4 linked regions of the Oryctolagus cuniculus genome follow. Each later gene encodes a partner of the first gene's protein in a complex. Links are inferred from orthologs where the notes say so. Each region holds a gene or a part of one and is shown in the gene's direction. Other genes may lie near its edges.

Region 1 (4,352 bases):
GTATCTCCGCCTTTCAAATAAATAGATCTTAAAAAAAAAAAAAAAAAAAAAAAAAAAAAAAAAGAAAGATAGATAGATAGATAGATGTCCTGGAACAAGAGCAGAAGCACCTCTGGGGCCCAAAGGACAGAGAGCAAACCCAAAGCAGGCGCTCCCGGGGGAAACAGGCAGGAAGCGCCGGCCACCCAGCCACACGGCCACTTCATCGCCCCAGCAACTCCGCACGCTCAGCACCACCACAGCCCCCAACGCACAGAGGAAAACCGGCCAAAAGCCAGCCCCCGCGGGAGTGAGGTCAGAGCCAGGGAGGCTCAGGTCAGTTGGCTGAAGCCCCGCGGCCGGAGGGCCCCACAGAAAGGGGCTCCAGCCTTGGTGAGGACCATGTGCACAGAGACCACCTGAGCTTCGGGGACCGGCCCTGCACAGCGACCCAGAAAGCCGCAGCGAACGCAGGGGGCCCCCACGTTCCGCCTCCCCCCTGGGCGCAGGGGGACCCTTGGACCCTTGCGAAGTCCTCCAGAGGCCAACTGGGCAGAGCCGGGCAGCAGCGGGGCTGGCTGGTCGGCGCGTGGAGGTGAAGGCCACAGGGGCCCCGAGCAGAGTCTCGTGGACAACCCTAGGGCCCGCAGGAGCCGGACAGTCGGACGCGAGCCCTCGGGCTCCGCCGGCAAAGGATGCACACGGAGAGGCCTGAGGCACACGGAGGCCAGGGAACCAAGGCCACGGGCCTCGGCAGAGCTCAGGCGATGCCCCGCTTCGGCTGGGGGGCTGCAGAGGGGCGCAGAGGCCGGAGACTGGGGGCAAAGGGCGAGCCGGGAGCTCAGGGTACCCAGCGGCCTGGACCGCACCAAATGTCACGGAGGGGACTGGCGGCGGGCGACCACGGGGACAGAGCCCCGCGCAGCGCCCCGCCGCCGCACCCCTCAGGCTCCGGGTGCCCCACACAGGGCCCGAACGAACCATCCCATCCCCGGGTCCAGAGGCCCCGTCCTGCTCTGCGGCCTTGTCCGACCTCCCCCGTGGCACCAGCCCACATGGTTCCTCCCACCGTGGACCGCGTTACCAAGGAGACGGGCCCGCCGCGACCGGCCGACTGACCAGGCCCGCGCTTTCGAGGAAGTCCCCTCACGACGGGCCCAGAGGCCTGGCAGCCAGTACGCGGTCTTGTGTACTGGCCTCAGGTCTTGCGGGCCGAGGGCCGGCTGAGGGGCGCGCTGCTTCGGGCCGCTCGGAGGAGCCTCGGAAAGCTGGCGCCCAGCGCTCAGGCCGCGGACCCGCCCCGCGTTCCTCTCGTCGTCAAGGCCTCGGAGCCAATCAGAGCACAAGTCAAGGGGGGCGGCCCTCCGCGAGCGCCAGCCAATCGGTGAGGCAGCGGGCCCGTCCTGATTTGCATGGCCGACGATCCCTTAGCCAATATCAAGATGAGAGGCGTGAGCGCCAGCCAATAAGAAACTGCCGGAGGCGTGGCCGCGGGCGTCCCACGAGGTGAAGATGCTGCGGGCGGAACCTGCCCGAGCGAGCGGGATTCGGGGGCGCTCGAGTCGCAGGGGCAGGGCGGGAAGGAAGATCCGGAGCGGGACTCAGGATCCGGAGCTGGAGCCCCCAGGTGAGTGGCGGGGGAGACCCCGGCGGGCCGCGCGTGGTCTGGGCGTGCGGTGGGCACGGCCCTTCGCCCGCTCCTCCCGCCCGGCCCTGCGTCCCCGCCGCCGCCGCCGCCGGTCTCAGCCTCTCCAGCCTCCTCACCGCCTTCTCGCTCGCCTCCCTTCCCCCAGGCCGTGCGCGCTTCTCTTCCCCATCTGTCCTCCCGCCTGACCTTCCAGCTGCCACCCCGACCCTGCACAACTTCCCGCGGCTCGGGCATCCCGCAGCCTCGCCTCCCCCTCGCCCCGTCGGAGCGCCCCGCGTGCCCTCCTCCGACGGCTCGGCCCGGGTCCCGCGGTGCCCCCGGCCCCCGCCATCTCTCCCGTGGGCGCTCCCCTCCTGCCGGCTCCTCTGGCCCCCTACACCCCGCACCCCGTTCCCCGAGCTCGCACCCCCATCTGCAGCTTCCTCCCTCCCGGAGCCCTGGCCCAGGGCGCCCCCACCTCCCTACCTGCAGCTGCTCCTGCGGATGCGGAGACCCGGCTGCTGCAGGGCGCACCCCTGCCCCCCCCCACACACACACACACGCACACCGCGCGCCCGGGCGCCCAGGCAGCCCCTCTGGCTCTTCTGCAGGACCAGGCTCTCCTAGAGCACCCTGGGTGCTCCAGGTGGGAAGCCCCTGCCTCCGCCCCGTCACCATCTCCCTCCCCACCCCCCCTCCCTGTTCTGCTTCATTTTGTGAGTCAGCACTTTTGGGCTCCCTGGGGTGGTGGAGACCTGGCCGTGGGACTAAGGGTGGGTGGTCTTGACTGCAGTTCGCAGGGCTTGCCTGGGTGGGAGAGAGGCCAGGAGCAGGGGCCCGGGCCGTGGGGGGAGGGGGAGCCTCCGCCTCCCTTTCATCTGCCTGCCCTGTGTTGAACCGTTTCCAAGGGGAGATGACATAAGTAATAGCTCTTGGAGAAATGGGCCGTTAGCATTTATGGAAATTAATTCGTGCACATCTGAGCGTAAGAACACCAAGTTCAGGCCACAGCTGTCCCGCTGTCTGTCATGTCAGGATTTCTCTCTCTGCAACTTCTCCCCCTCAAAAACGCCACCAGCGCCACCTCCCCCCCCCTGCCAAGTGCAGGCGCCTGCTCTGCTGCCGTACTGCACTTGGGCCTGCTGCAGGCTTGGGGGCCTGTGCGTGGGCACTGTCTGCCCACCCGATGCGTGCCTGGCAGACGTGTCCACGGGCGGCTCCTGGGCTCCTGGGCTCCTGGCCCTGTGCTCTCGCTGCACCCGGCTCCCCGGATGCTGTCCAGCAGGCCCGACGTGCAGCCTCTCCAGGGAGAGGTCTCCAAGTCCACACGGCCTCAGTGGCGTGGACAGTGTTGGGGCCTCAGCACGTCCCTGCCTCCAGAGCAGCCCGCCGGAGGCTTCCCTTGTACAGCCAACGTCCACCCTCCGTTCGTCGTCGTTACACCAGGCAACACATGCTTTGTGGGCACTGATCAGTGCCCAGGGGTCGAGCCGGGCAAGGGGGAGAGGGAGGTGTCCTGAAAACGCACGCAGTCCTTGCCATGTGCTTCTTGTGTTCAAAACCCGTGTGCGTCTGGATCCGGAGCCTGGTAGGCAGGAAGCACGCACAGCGCCGATTGCCCCCGGGAGCTGGGGTGCGGTGGGGCGCAGGCCGTGGCCCTGGGAGGTTCAGCCCAGAGAGCTCTGGGCTGGCCGGCTCGGGGGGCCTCAGCCTTGGCCTGGCTCGCTTGCCTCTTCCAGTCGTCTTGTCAAACCCGAATGATTCAGGAGGAAGTGAGTGGCAGAGCTTTGGTCTGGCAGTTTCCGGTGAGGGCTGGCGGGAGGGGCTCCTCTAGACCTTGCTGTGTGTTGGCACCGGCTGTGGCAATGGGGCAGACAGACGGTGGCTATGTGGACAGAAAGCCCGCTTCCCTGCTGGAGACCTGGGGAGTGTGGCTCGGTCTCCGGTGTGTTTGGTCCTTGGCTGGTATCTCTGGGACCCTGGTGTCACCAACGGTCCCTAAACAAGGAGGTGAGCCATGAGCGGCTGTGGGCAGGGTCCAGGAAGGGCTGCCTCTGTCAGTGGGCAGGGCCGGAGACCCCACACTTGCCCATACCCCCTCTCCCAGCAGCCAGAGAGAGAGGTCCTAAAGCTACAAGGGCCTGGGCCACCCCAGGCTCCGCCCTGCCCTCTCTCAGAGGGTGGAGACTTCTCCAAGGTCACGGAGAGGCCATACCGGGCCCCCACTTCTTTGCATCCTTGGTGGTCGGAGCTGCAGGAAGCCGACACCCCAAGGGCACGGCCGGCCGCCCTTTGGGAAGCCGCTGTGCCAGTGCCCTTGTGGACATCTGTGTCACCGGAGGGCTGCTGGGGATGGGCAGTGCCACTGACCACAGAGAATTCTGGCCGACCACAGCCCTACAAGACCTGGCAGACGCGCAGTGTGAGCGTGCGATTGTTCGTGACTGTCCACACCGTGGCCAAGCGGTTGGAGGGGGGACAAGCAGAGAAGGGACTGCCCCGACACAGGAACTGCACTTCCTGCCTCGTTTCACCCTGGGGCCCTGCGAAGTGGGCTGGTCAGCATGGATGGGGAAACTGAGGCCTGGGCAACGCCAGACTGACCCTCCGGCCTCCAGCGGTGAGGGGGCCTTGATGCTGTCCTGCCCTGCCAGGACCGTGTGGCCAGCGCTCCCTCTGCTGTTCAGCCCAACTCCAGAAATCCTCCTGAGGTGCTGGGGAGGCGCGGGCTCAGCCCCCGAGGGAT
Region 2 (3,430 bases), on another chromosome or scaffold:
GTTGGGAGGCGGCGAGAGTGTTGGCGATCGTCTTTTGCCTCCCAGCTTCGGGAGAGGGTGGCATTTGGCATTTCCGCCCCGCATCCTCCGGAGCTCCCTGCACTGGCGAGAGAACGGCGTCTCCAGGTTGCCGGCGCCCGGGGAGCATGGGGGCAGGGAGCCGAGGTCTCCGCCGCAGCTGCTCGCTGAAGCGATAGTCCGACTGAGAGCCGCACAGGACGAGCGGACGGACCAGGACGGCTGGGGTGCCGGGTGCCTCTCGGCTGCTGCGGCGGCGGCGCGGAGACTCGCGTCCGGCTGCAGCTAAGACGACCTGCCGCACCCCGACCCGGGCTCCCGGCAGACTCCGCACCGCCCTGCGCCAAGCCAGCAGTCCAGGTAGGGGGCTCCGCAGCCCGGGGCTGCGGGACCCGGGTGTTGGGGTGACGGGGTGGGGACGGCGGGTGTGTGTACGTTGGGGGGAGGGTTGCAGAGACGCTGCTCGGGATCCGGAGCTCCCCCTCCTGGGGTCTCTTGGCGCTTTAGCGATCTCCAGTGTAGCGGAGTTGTAAACAGCTCGGCCGTTGGGCACCGGGGAAAGTGGGACGGAAGAGCCCCAAACTTGGATTTCGGGGTGTCTGCGTGTGTGTCTGTCTGCGTGTGTGTGCTGTCCTTGGTCCGAGTCCAGTGCGTTCCCCACAAGCTGCACGTCCGTGCTCTTCGGTGTCTGTCGGTCCGTCCCATCGGAACGCTTCTGATTCTCTGCCCCCCGTATCACTTTCTATTTCTCTGCAGCGTGCATCGATCGCCCTTGGTGGGAGCTTAGAAGGCGGCAGGCGAAGAGGGCTAGGAGGGGGGCGAGCCGAGGAGCAGCGGAGGGGGTGGCAGGCGTGGGGCTCCGCTGAGCTGGCAGCGCCCCGCGGTCCAGGGAGGGCTGGCGGCGGGGCGGGGAGGCCGGGGCGCGCCCCGAAGCCATGGCCCGATCCACTGGAGCGGCTCTGCGTTAAGGCACCGCGGGGCAGGAAGGAATACAAAATAAAAGAAAAAGAAAAAAATAAACAACTTTTAGAACAAAACAAAACGAAACAAGCACATCCTCCAAACTCGGCCGTCGGCACAAAATCCTGGTCCGCGCCGACGAGGGGGATTCCCATTCCAGAAACAGACAAGGTGCAGGGCCAGGCAACCGGGAGCCAAATCGCAGGTCCGCTCACCTGCTCGCTCGGAAGCCCAGCCCCCTGAGCGCTGGGGAGACCCGCACGCGGGTGGCGGTGGTGGTGGCTGCGGCGGCGCGGTGGCTGCGCCTGGGTCCCCCCAGCCCCTCCGCGCTCACGCTTCCCCAGCCCCAGGCTCCTCGCCACCCTCACCCCCACCCCAGGCCTCCCACCCTTAAGCCCGGCCGGCTTCCATCATGACGGTGGTGTCAGGGGAGAACGTGGACGAGGCCTCGGCCGCCCCGGGCCACCCCCAGGAGGGCGGCTACCCGCGGCCGGCCGAGCACGACGAGCACGAGTGCTGTGAGCGCGTGGTGATCAACATCTCAGGGCTGCGCTTCGAGACGCAGCTCAAGACCCTGGCGCAGTTCCCCAACACGCTGCTGGGCAACCCGAAGAAGCGCATGCGCTACTTCGACCCGCTGAGGAACGAGTACTTCTTCGACCGCAACCGGCCAAGCTTCGACGCCATCCTGTACTACTACCAGTCCGGGGGCCGCCTGCGCCGGCCGGTCAACGTGCCCCTGGACATGTTCTCCGAGGAAATTAAGTTCTACGAGCTGGGTGAGGAGGCCATGGAGAAGTTCCGGGAGGACGAGGGCTTCATCAAGGAGGAGGAGCGCCCCCTGCCCGAGAAGGAGTACCAGCGCCAGGTGTGGCTGCTCTTCGAGTACCCCGAGAGCTCGGGCCCTGCGCGCGTCATCGCCATTGTCTCGGTCATGGTCATCCTCATCTCCATCGTCATCTTCTGCCTGGAGACCCTGCCCGAGCTGAAAGACGACAAGGACCTGGCGGGCACCTTCCGCCGCGTCGACAACACCACCGTGGTCTACAGCGCCAACATCTTCACGGACCCCTTCTTCATCGTGGAGACGCTGTGTATCATCTGGTTCTCCTTCGAGCTGGTGGTGCGCTTCTTCGCCTGCCCCAGCAAGACAGACTTCTTCAAGAACATCATGAACTTCATCGACATCGTGGCCATCATCCCCTACTTCATCACGTTGGGCACGGAGATAGCGGAGCAGGAGGGCAACCAGAAAGGCGAGCAGGCCACCTCGCTGGCCATCCTGCGGGTCATCCGCCTGGTCAGGGTGTTTAGGATCTTCAAACTCTCCCGCCACTCCAAGGGCCTGCAGATTCTGGGCCAGACCCTCAAGGCTAGCATGAGAGAGCTAGGGCTGCTCATCTTCTTCCTCTTCATCGGCGTCATCCTGTTTTCTAGCGCAGTGTACTTTGCCGAGGCGGAGGAAGCTGAGTCGCACTTCTCCAGTATCCCCGATGCTTTCTGGTGGGCGGTGGTGTCCATGACCACCGTGGGATACGGTGACATGTACCCTGTGACAATTGGAGGCAAGATCGTGGGCTCCTTGTGTGCCATCGCTGGTGTGCTGACAATTGCCCTGCCCGTACCTGTCATTGTGTCCAATTTCAACTATTTCTACCACCGAGAAACTGAGGGGGAGGAGCAAGCTCAGCTGCTCCACGTTAGCGCCCCGAATTTAGCCTCTGACAGTGACCTCAGCCGCCGCAGTTCCTCCACTGTGAGCAAGTCTGAGTACATGGAGATCGAGGAGGAAATGAGTAACAGCATAGCCCATTATAGACAGGCCAACCTCAGAACTGGGAACTGCACCACCGCTAACCAAAACTGCGTTAATAAGAGCAAGCTCCTGACCGATGTTTAGAGAAAGGTGCAGGTGCACGCAAAGCCGCCCCCCCGCTTACCAGACGCAGAAAACAGAGCGCACACTTTGTAGATACTTTCCTAGATAATCTCTGAACGCTCTGTTTCACCGTCAATGCATTGTTGCATTGTGGATTCTGGAGGTGGCCTACCAGACACTTTTTGAGATTCCTGAAAAAAGAGACTATTTTCATTTTATTGAAAAATAAAGTTGGGAAGAGAAAGGGTATTTTCTAAAACTGGCTTTAAAAAATGCAGTCCATGAACTAGTCTAGGTGAAATATGATTTAGATGCCACCCCCATTCTGAAACATTTTTAACCCTTTGGCTTGTTTAACATTTTTTTAAAAAACTTAAACTAAAAGCCAAACGATCACTTAAAAAACTAGCATTTGCATGGGACTCCGATGTAAAACCTTTGCAAAGTGCACAATAAGACTGTGCATTAACTGTGTTGCAGTTAACACGATACCCCAGCCCCCGGGACAGTGAACAAATGCTTCTATTTGGATCAACTGAACTGCATATGACTAGGTGAAAAAAAAAAAAAGAA
Region 3 (4,247 bases), about 100 Mb from region 1:
AGGGGCGGAGGGCGCGGAGGAGCCTGCGGGTGATGGGAAGTGCAGCTGAGCGTAACCGTGTCTGGTAAATAGCGCCGGCCAGCGGGACCACCGAGCTGCGTTCACCCCTCCGGCAGGATGCCGAGAGCGGCTTTGCGGCGGAGAGGGGCTTCTCCCCCGCTGCTGGGGGCCGCGGGCTGGCGCCGAGCCCCGCGGCTTAGGAGGAAGCGGAGATCTAGGACAGCAGCCGGCCTGTCCACGCCCCGCCCGAGCCCAAGCTCGATCGTTTTCGCGTGCAGAGGGTAGCCTCGCGGGTCCCTCAGTTGGACCCTGAGGTCAAAAGCTGGACTGCGCTCGGGGTCGTCGCTGCGGGAGCAGAGCGCGCCGGGCAGGAAGGGGTTAAGGCGGCGCTAGCTGCAGCGGCGGGGCTGCAGGATCCCGTCCGTCGCGCGGAGCGGCGCGGGGAGTGCGCCGGGCGGAATCCCGGCCGCTGCCCGGGGCGCTGCCGCGAGGGCCCGGACCCCTCCCCGCCTTGGGGCCTGGGGATTGGGTCGGCAGGGGGCCAGCCCGGAAGCCGGCTTCCTGCAGGCTCCCCCTCTCGCCTCTCAGCCGGGTTGGCTGAGCGTTTGTTCTGAGCTCCCCGCCGGGGAGATGTGAGGATTTTTCTCTTGGGGGAGAAACCAGTGGTCGTGCGCCTGCCCAGCTCAATGCCACCCACCTCCAAGGGAGGCCTGCGGCCCAGGGACCCTGGGGGGAGAGTAAGTTCAGCGGCCCAGCCACCCTGCCGGCCGGCTCCGGTGCGAGGCAACCTAGCTGTGGGAGGGGTCGCCATCGCCGAGCTCTGAACGAACGCTTTGGGGGGAGGGGGGCAATGGGGCGCTTCTTTCTGCACAACCTGGCTGAGGTCAGAGCTTGTAGGCAGGCTGCAGTGAGCAAAGCCCTCCCCTTGGGTGGTGCTGTGCCGACCTGCAGAGCCAGGGGTGCGTTGCCCAGAGCCATTCCCCCACCCCCACTCCCCTGGTTGCTCAGGACCAGGGATGTGGATCAGCTCAGGGAGGCCCCTGGAGAAGACAGGCAGCCAAGCCCGAAGGTTTGCTCCCTGGGAGAAGGCGCTTCCAGTCCTGGGAAGCCTGCCCAGGAGAGGCTGCGAGGCTGAGGGATAGATCTGGGCAAGAGCCTGTCACCTCCAGCGAGTGAAGCTGCCAGAGCCCTCCGAAACCTTGGCACCAGCTGCCCCCAAGCCCTGGTTCCACCTTGCTCCTGTTTTTTCCAGGCCGGGTCACACCTCCTGAGGACAGCCAGGACTCCGGCTTTTGCTGAGCTGTGCATCTTGCCACCTTCCTTGCAAAGGCTCCAGACCCAAGGCCAGCCGCTCTCTTCCTGCACGCCCCTGGCCAGGCAGCCCACTGCCCCTCCAGCTGGGCCCAGCCCCAGAGCTCACCTCCAGGACCTGGAGCCTGCCCTCCTGCCCGGCATGACTCACCATTTCTAGCTCGGTGAGAGGACGTGATGGGGAGTCGGGCGGCCTGTTTGTGTGTATAGGATACCTGCACCATCTGATCAGTTCTGCAAAGAAGAGAGCTTCAGGTTCCTGCCGGCCAGGTAAACCCACCTGTGGTGGAATGGCAACCATGTGTAGAGTTATGGGGGGGTGGGGAGGGAGTGAGGGGAGAGGGCAGGCAGAACACCCCAAACCAAGAGCCTGCACATGATCCCTCCCAGGGTGCAAGCATCTGTAAGCCATTAGTGCAGTGTGTGGGAAAGGGGTCCCCTCCTTGTGTGGGGCTGTGTTCTAGGAAGCTTCGTGGTGCAGAGGGGGGCTGCACCCGCCACCTTCCCCCAGTGCCAGAGCTCCCTTGAAAGACCGACACCTGCTCCCTTCCAATGCCCCAGACGAGTTACAAGGTGAAAGGGAATTTTACTTTCTGGCCATGGTGCTGGTGGTGCTGGTGGTTGTGTCCAGGTGGCTTAGCCCTTGGCTGAGATGGGAGACCCAGGCAGCAGCCCAGGGCAGGTTGCCAATGCCAAGTGGTCTCACGTCCTTCACTGCCTCTGTCTTACAGCCCAGCGAGGCTGTCCCCAGCTCTCAGAGAGCTCTGGGGGCGCCCAGGCCAATGCTTCTGCGCTACCTGGGGCCGTTCGCAGCACCCTGAGCTCCCTGCCACCAGGCAGCTGGAAGGCGTAGCAGGAGGCATTTCTCTCAGCCCCAATAATGACAGTGGCCACCGGAGACCCGGCAGATGAGGCCGCTGCCCTGCCTGGGCACCCCCAGGACACCTACGACCCCGAGGCAGACCATGAGTGCTGCGAGAGGGTGGTCATCAACATCTCAGGGCTGCGGTTTGAGACACAGCTCAAGACCTTGGCCCAGTTCCCAGAGACCCTGTTAGGGGACCCAAAGAAGCGCATGCGGTACTTCGACCCCCTCCGCAATGAGTACTTCTTCGATCGGAACCGCCCCAGCTTTGACGCCATCCTGTACTACTACCAGTCAGGGGGCCGCTTGCGGCGGCCCGTGAACGTGCCCCTGGACATCTTCTCCGAGGAGATCCGGTTCTACGAGCTGGGTGAGGAGGCCATGGAGATGTTTCGGGAGGACGAGGGCTACATCAAGGAGGAGGAACGGCCCCTGCCCGAAAATGAGTTCCAGAGGCAGGTTTGGCTTCTCTTCGAATACCCAGAGAGCTCAGGGCCCGCCAGGATTATAGCCATCGTGTCCGTCATGGTGATCCTGATCTCCATCGTCAGCTTCTGCCTGGAGACGCTGCCCATCTTCCGGGACGAGAACGAAGACATGCATGGCAGCGGCATGACCTTCCACACCTACTCCAACAGCACCGCCGGCTACCAGCAGTCCACCTCCTTCACCGACCCCTTCTTCATCGTGGAGACGCTCTGCATCATCTGGTTCTCCTTTGAGTTCCTGGTGAGGTTCTTTGCCTGCCCCAGCAAAGCCGGGTTCTTCACCAACATCATGAACATCATTGACATCGTGGCCATCATCCCCTACTTCATCACCCTGGGGACAGAGCTGGCCGAGAAGCCCGAGGACGCCCAGCAGGGCCAGCAGGCCATGTCGCTGGCCATCCTCCGAGTCATCCGGTTGGTAAGAGTCTTTAGGATTTTTAAGTTGTCCAGACACTCCAAAGGTCTCCAGATTCTAGGGCAGACCCTCAAAGCCAGCATGAGAGAACTGGGCCTCCTGATCTTCTTCCTCTTCATCGGGGTCATCCTGTTCTCTAGTGCTGTCTACTTTGCAGAAGCCGATGAGCGAGATTCTCAGTTCCCCAGCATCCCGGATGCCTTCTGGTGGGCAGTCGTCTCCATGACAACCGTAGGCTATGGAGACATGGTTCCAACCACCATTGGGGGAAAGATAGTGGGCTCTCTGTGCGCCATCGCAGGTGTGTTAACCATTGCCTTACCGGTCCCAGTCATAGTGTCCAATTTCAACTACTTCTACCACCGGGAGACAGAGGGAGAGGAACAGGCCCAGTACTTGCAAGTGACAAGCTGTCCAAAGATCCCATCCTCCCCTGACCTAAAGAAAAGTAGAAGTGCCTCCACCATTAGTAAGTCCGATTACATGGAGATCCAGGAGGGTGTGAACAACAGTAATGAGGACTTTAGAGAGGAAAACTTGAAAACAGCCAACTGTACCTTGGCTAACACAAACTATGTGAATATTACCAAAATGTTAACTGATGTCTGATCGAAACCTCTTAACATAACTCACAGCTCCATGGAACTAATGCAGATGTTGCATAATAGCCTGCATTGTAGTCAGTGTGTTCTACAGTGTGTCTCTGGTTCTGCATGGAAAGCAATAGTTGTGCAAGTGACTTTCGACCTTTTGATTTTTGATTTAGAACACAGAATATCTGTCGTGGCTTTCATGCAAACCTTCATCACCTGCTGTTGGGTTTCCAAAGATGGGAGTCACCTATGGAGCCAGGATTTTAGAAAGACACATTGAGGCCACCTCATATCCAGTACTCAAACCACCATATCAGTGCCACCTTCCTTTCCTAACCAAATGCCCACAACACCCAAGAGATGCACACCCCTCACCCCGACCCCGCGTCCTGTTTGAGCTCCCTCCCTGCCCCTCACAGAGGAGCACTATCATGGCTTATGGCTTAGCTTTAAAGCTCTGGGTCATTATTCAGAAGGTCATTCCTTTTTTTTTTTTTTTTTTTTTTTTTTACATTTAAAAGAGCACACAGTCCTGTGTGTTAGAATTCCTTTCCGTGTCTCAGGCTGGGGTT
Region 4 (4,291 bases), about 100 Mb from region 1:
TGAAAATTTATATTTACTAAATAAAAAAATAATATATTGGCCAGTAAAAAAAAAAGAAGAAGAAGAAGAAGAAGAAGAAGACGAAGAACAGCCAGGACACAGTCAGGGATGCCACAACTTAACCTGTTATGCCACAACGCAGATCCCAAATTTCTTTTTTAAGCCTAGGGTTGACATACTGGAATAGTTAAAATTTCTGGAAACAGAAATTGTGTTCGAAGTGACCACAATTTGGAGAAATAGTTTTCGCTCAAAGAGGATAAGCAACAATTACCTCTGAGCCCATATCAAGCAGTAGGAGGAGAAACAGAACGTGGAACTAGCATGTGGAACCAGCATATTAAGTGGAGTCCAGGGAGGAGGCCCTGCTCCCATCCCTCCCAAGACAGACGTAAGTCAGGGGGTCCAATTTTTTTTAAGATTTATTTAATTAATTTGAAAGAGAGAGAGAGAAGAATATCTGCTGGTTCACTCCCCAAATGTGGGCAACAGCCAGGGCAGGAAGTGGGTGGCAGGAACCCAAGCACCTGAGCCATCACCCGCTGGATGCCAGGATGCCCATCAGCAGGAAGCTGGGACTGGAGGCGATTGGACTTGAACCAGGCACTCCTATGAGGAATGCAGGCGGCTCAGCGCAACAACGTCGACCCCAGGAGGTTGAACTTTCTAACTAGCATTGGCCACGTTTCCCACTTTTCCTCCTTTTTTCTCATGGACAGGAAACAGGGTCCTGTAAAGACCAGGCTGCCCTTGCTAATCCCAGCCAGAAACGGTCCTCCGTGAAGTGCTCGCTACAGAATCCAGGTCCCTGAACGCCTGTAATGACCCATTGCTTTCAGAGTCCGGTTGCGGAAGCCATCAGCACCCATTCCTCCACTCGGCTTAGCCAGGCCCGAGCTACATTATTGAGAACATCTCCGGCCCAGGGCTGGGCGGTCCACCACTCCCAAGTGAGCCCAGGACACTGGCCCCGGCCTCCCCGCCTGCCTAGGGAGCCCGCCCGGCCCTGCCATTCCCCCCCTCGACAAGGCTCGGGGACGTGCACCAGGCGCCCCCTCCTCATCCTCCCTCCCCGCCCGCCTCCGCGTTCGGAGGTCCAGAAGCCCCGCAACGTGAGACCAGACCTGGGGGGAGGGGGCCGCTGACGAGAAGCGGGCTGAACTCAGGGGGCCGGATTCCCAGAGGGTCAGCTCGGCTGGCCAGAGAGGTTCAAGGGCCAGGGCGCTCCGAGGTGCAAAATGAGGGCGTTCGTGTGCTACGGACCGGGGTGGAGGGCAGGGGCCAGCTGCAGGCTCGGCGCTCGCCCGGGGAGCGGGGCGCGCGCCCGCGCGGTGGGCGGGAATCCTGAGGGGACGCGGAGGGCGGGCGCGCGCCCCGCGGGGGCGAGGGCGGCGGGGAGCGAGGAGGAGGCGTGGGGAGGCGTCTGTGTTGCCGGAGCCGCACCAGCCGCGCCAGAGCCAGACTGAGCCTCGCGGCGGCTGCAGCAACAGGCGGCGGGCTCGGCTCCGGACGGAGGCGGCCGAGGGGCGGGGAGCGCGAGGAGGAGCGGCTCGGCCCCACCGCCGCCTCTTCGCCGCCGCATGGACGAGCACCTCAGCCTCCTGCGCTCGCCGCCGCAGACCTCCGCCCGCCACCGCGCCCACCCTCCCCAGGACCCCGCGAGCCGCGGCGGCGGCGGCAGCGGTAGCGGCGCCCACACCCTGGTGAACCCCGGCTACGCCGAGCCCGCCGCAGACCCCGAGCTGCCTCCCGACATGACGGTGGTGCCCGGGGACCACCTGCTGGAGCCCGAGGCGGCCGACGGCGGAGGGGGCCCGCCTCAGGGCGGCGGCGGCGGCGGTGGCTGTGACCGCTACGAGCCGCTGCCGGCCGCCGGGGAGCAGGAGTGCTGCGGGGAGCGCGTGGTCATCAACATCTCGGGGCTGCGCTTCGAGACGCAGCTCAAGACCCTCTGCCAGTTCCCAGAGACGCTTCTGGGCGACCCCAAGCGGCGCATGCGGTACTTCGACCCGCTCCGCAACGAGTACTTCTTCGACCGCAACCGGCCCAGCTTCGACGCCATCCTCTACTACTATCAGTCCGGGGGCCGCATCCGCCGGCCGGTCAACGTGCCCATCGACATCTTCTCCGAGGAGATCCGCTTCTACCAGCTGGGCGAGGAGGCCATGGAGAAGTTCCGCGAGGACGAGGGCTTCCTGCGGGAGGAGGAGCGGCCGCTGCCCCGCCGCGACTTCCAGCGCCAGGTGTGGCTGCTCTTCGAGTACCCTGAGAGCTCCGGGCCGGCCCGGGGCATCGCCATCGTGTCCGTGCTCGTCATCCTCATCTCCATCGTCATCTTCTGCCTGGAGACGCTGCCCGAGTTTCGCGATGAGAAGGACTACCCGGCCGCGCCGTCGCAGGATGTGGTGGAGGCGGCCGGCAACGGCACGTCGGGGGCCCCCGCCGGAGCCTCCAGCTTCTCCGACCCCTTCTTCGTGGTGGAGACCCTGTGCATCATCTGGTTCTCCTTCGAGCTGCTCGTGCGCTTCTTCGCTTGTCCCAGCAAAGCCACCTTCTCGCGAAACATCATGAACCTGATCGACATCGTGGCCATCATTCCCTACTTCATCACCCTGGGCACCGAGCTGGCCGAGCGACAGGGCAACGGACAGCAGGCCATGTCCCTGGCCATCCTGAGGGTCATCCGCCTGGTGAGGGTCTTCCGCATCTTCAAGCTGTCCCGTCACTCCAAGGGGCTGCAGATCCTGGGGCAGACGCTGAAGGCTTCCATGCGGGAGCTGGGGCTGCTCATCTTCTTCCTCTTCATTGGGGTCATCCTCTTCTCCAGCGCCGTCTACTTTGCCGAGGCGGACGACCCCACTTCGGGCTTTAGCAGTATCCCGGATGCCTTCTGGTGGGCAGTGGTGACCATGACAACAGTCGGCTACGGCGATATGCACCCTGTGACCATAGGGGGCAAGATTGTGGGCTCTCTGTGTGCCATCGCCGGGGTTTTGACCATTGCATTGCCCGTTCCTGTGATTGTTTCCAACTTCAATTACTTCTACCACCGGGAGACCGAAGGGGAAGAGCAAGCCCAGTACATGCACGTGGGAAGTTGCCAGCACCTCTCCTCTTCAGCCGAGGAGCTCCGAAAAGCAAGGAGTAACTCGACTCTGAGTAAGTCGGAGTACATGGTGATCGAAGAGGGGGGTATGAACCATAGTGCTTTCCCCCAGACCCCTTTCAAAACGGGCAACTCCACTGCCACTTGCACCACGAACAATAACCCCAACTCCTGTGTCAACATCAAAAAGATATTCACCGATGTTTAATAATTGACACGAGTGCTCAGTACTGTGTGGAACGTGCCCCCTTGGTCTGTGTATGCCCTTGTTTTATACATTTCCAGACCATCCATCAAGGACAGGACGTGAAGAAGTGGGAAGCACATTCCATTCTCCCTCTCCCTATTGCTTCATACTGAAACAGGTGCCTGTTTTGCAAGTGGGCTGCATTCTCTCGGCTCTTTTTTTCCTCTCCCTCTCTCTTAATTTTCTGAACAACAAACTTAACATTGCACTTGATTTCTAGGACACGCCCTATTTTAAAAAAAAGTACATCCTGGGAGGAAATGAAACTACAGAACAGTTAGAACTGTTTAACCTCAAAATTGAAAGGTAATTATTTCTTTACTAAGTAAAGCCGGTAAATGCTTACAGGATGCTTCAGTTTGATGGACTCTTAGACATTACCTATTAACTATGTAGTTCAGTTGCCTACTCTTTGGATATGTGGATGGAAAATAGAACTAAAACAGTGACTTGAAACCCCACCAGAAGTTTAGTTGGTTTTGGACTGGAATTTCTGTTTGAGTTCCTCCTCCCAGAACTTTAAGGGTTCTTACAACTTTGAACAAAGGGAAATGCCCAGAATGTTCTGATCTGACTAATATGTTTAACTCTTTGGGACTTACAAAGCATTTCGAAAGTATTAAACTAACAGATTCTTCTGAAGTTCTGTGCATATGCCCCAGCCAACATCTATCAAAGTCTAGAAACAGATGTTTTCAGTGCTGCTGAGAGAAACAAAGAATTTCCTAATGCATTTGAGAGATAAGCTTCTGCAGTATCACCAGAAGATTAAAGTGGCAGACACCCCTTCCAGCGGAAGTTACTAATTCGGACCTGACTGATGCAGTTCCCATAGCAACCTATGTTTCCTGGGAAACCCGAAAAAGGTTGTCATGGTATCTCTTGCTCTCTAGCCCCACCCCCTAGCCCCTGCCGTTTCCACAGTAACCTTTCCAGAT

What was found.
Region 2: the proteins of KCNAB2 (region 1) and KCNA1 are in contact, whole or in part, in a crystal structure (PDB 1EXB), measured with the Rattus norvegicus proteins. The link is inferred for Oryctolagus cuniculus from reciprocal best matches to the Homo sapiens genes KCNAB2 and KCNA1. Residues at the interface, in NP_059000.1 of Rattus norvegicus: Met196, Tyr199, Ser200, Arg203, Glu231, Lys235, Ile236; in NP_775118.1 of Rattus norvegicus: Glu37, Met70, Phe73, Asp74, Pro75, Leu76, Asn78, Tyr80.
Region 3: the proteins of KCNAB2 (region 1) and KCNA2 are in contact, whole or in part, in a crystal structure (PDB 5WIE), measured with the Rattus norvegicus proteins. The link is inferred for Oryctolagus cuniculus from reciprocal best matches to the Homo sapiens genes KCNAB2 and KCNA2. Residues at the interface, in NP_059000.1 of Rattus norvegicus: Met193, Met196, Tyr199, Ser200, Arg203, Glu231, His234, Lys235, Ile236; in NP_037102.1 of Rattus norvegicus: Asp28, Glu33, Pro62, Met66, Phe69, Asp70, Pro71, Leu72, Arg73, Asn74, Tyr76.
Region 4: the proteins of KCNAB2 (region 1) and KCNA3 are in contact, whole or in part, in a cryo-EM structure (PDB 7EJ2), measured with the Homo sapiens proteins. The link is inferred for Oryctolagus cuniculus from reciprocal best matches to the Homo sapiens genes KCNAB2 and KCNA3. Residues at the interface, in NP_001186789.1 of Homo sapiens: Met196, Tyr199, Ser200, Arg203, Glu231, His234, Lys235, Ile236; in NP_002223.3 of Homo sapiens: Pro133, Met137, Phe140, Pro142, Leu143, Asn145, Tyr147.

What each region holds. Positions count from the first base shown.
Region 1 is NC_091438.1:161,396,557-161,400,908, reverse strand, and holds the start of KCNAB2 (voltage-gated potassium channel subunit beta-2), read left to right. Parts: upstream 1-1,517; 5' UTR 1,518-1,606; intron 1,607-2,092; exon of another isoform or gene 2,093-2,211; intron 2,212-4,352.
Region 2 is NC_091440.1:104,540,978-104,544,407, reverse strand, and holds KCNA1 (potassium voltage-gated channel subfamily A member 1), read left to right. Parts: upstream 1-1,390; coding exon 1,391-2,878; downstream 2,879-3,430. UniProt on the Homo sapiens protein: Voltage-gated potassium channel that mediates transmembrane potassium transport in excitable membranes, primarily in the brain and the central nervous system, but also in the kidney.
Region 3 is NC_091438.1:59,753,208-59,757,454, forward strand, and holds KCNA2 (potassium voltage-gated channel subfamily A member 2), read left to right. Parts: upstream 1-1,413; 5' UTR 1,414-1,475; exon of another isoform or gene 1,476-1,581; intron 1,582-2,042; 5' UTR 2,043-2,191; coding exon 2,192-3,691; 3' UTR 3,692-3,765; downstream 3,766-4,247. UniProt on the Homo sapiens protein: Voltage-gated potassium channel that mediates transmembrane potassium transport in excitable membranes, primarily in the brain and the central nervous system, but also in the cardiovascular system.
Region 4 is NC_091438.1:59,681,307-59,685,597, forward strand, and holds the start of KCNA3 (potassium voltage-gated channel subfamily A member 3), read left to right. Parts: upstream 1-1,442; 5' UTR 1,443-1,580; coding exon 1,581-3,314; 3' UTR 3,315-4,291.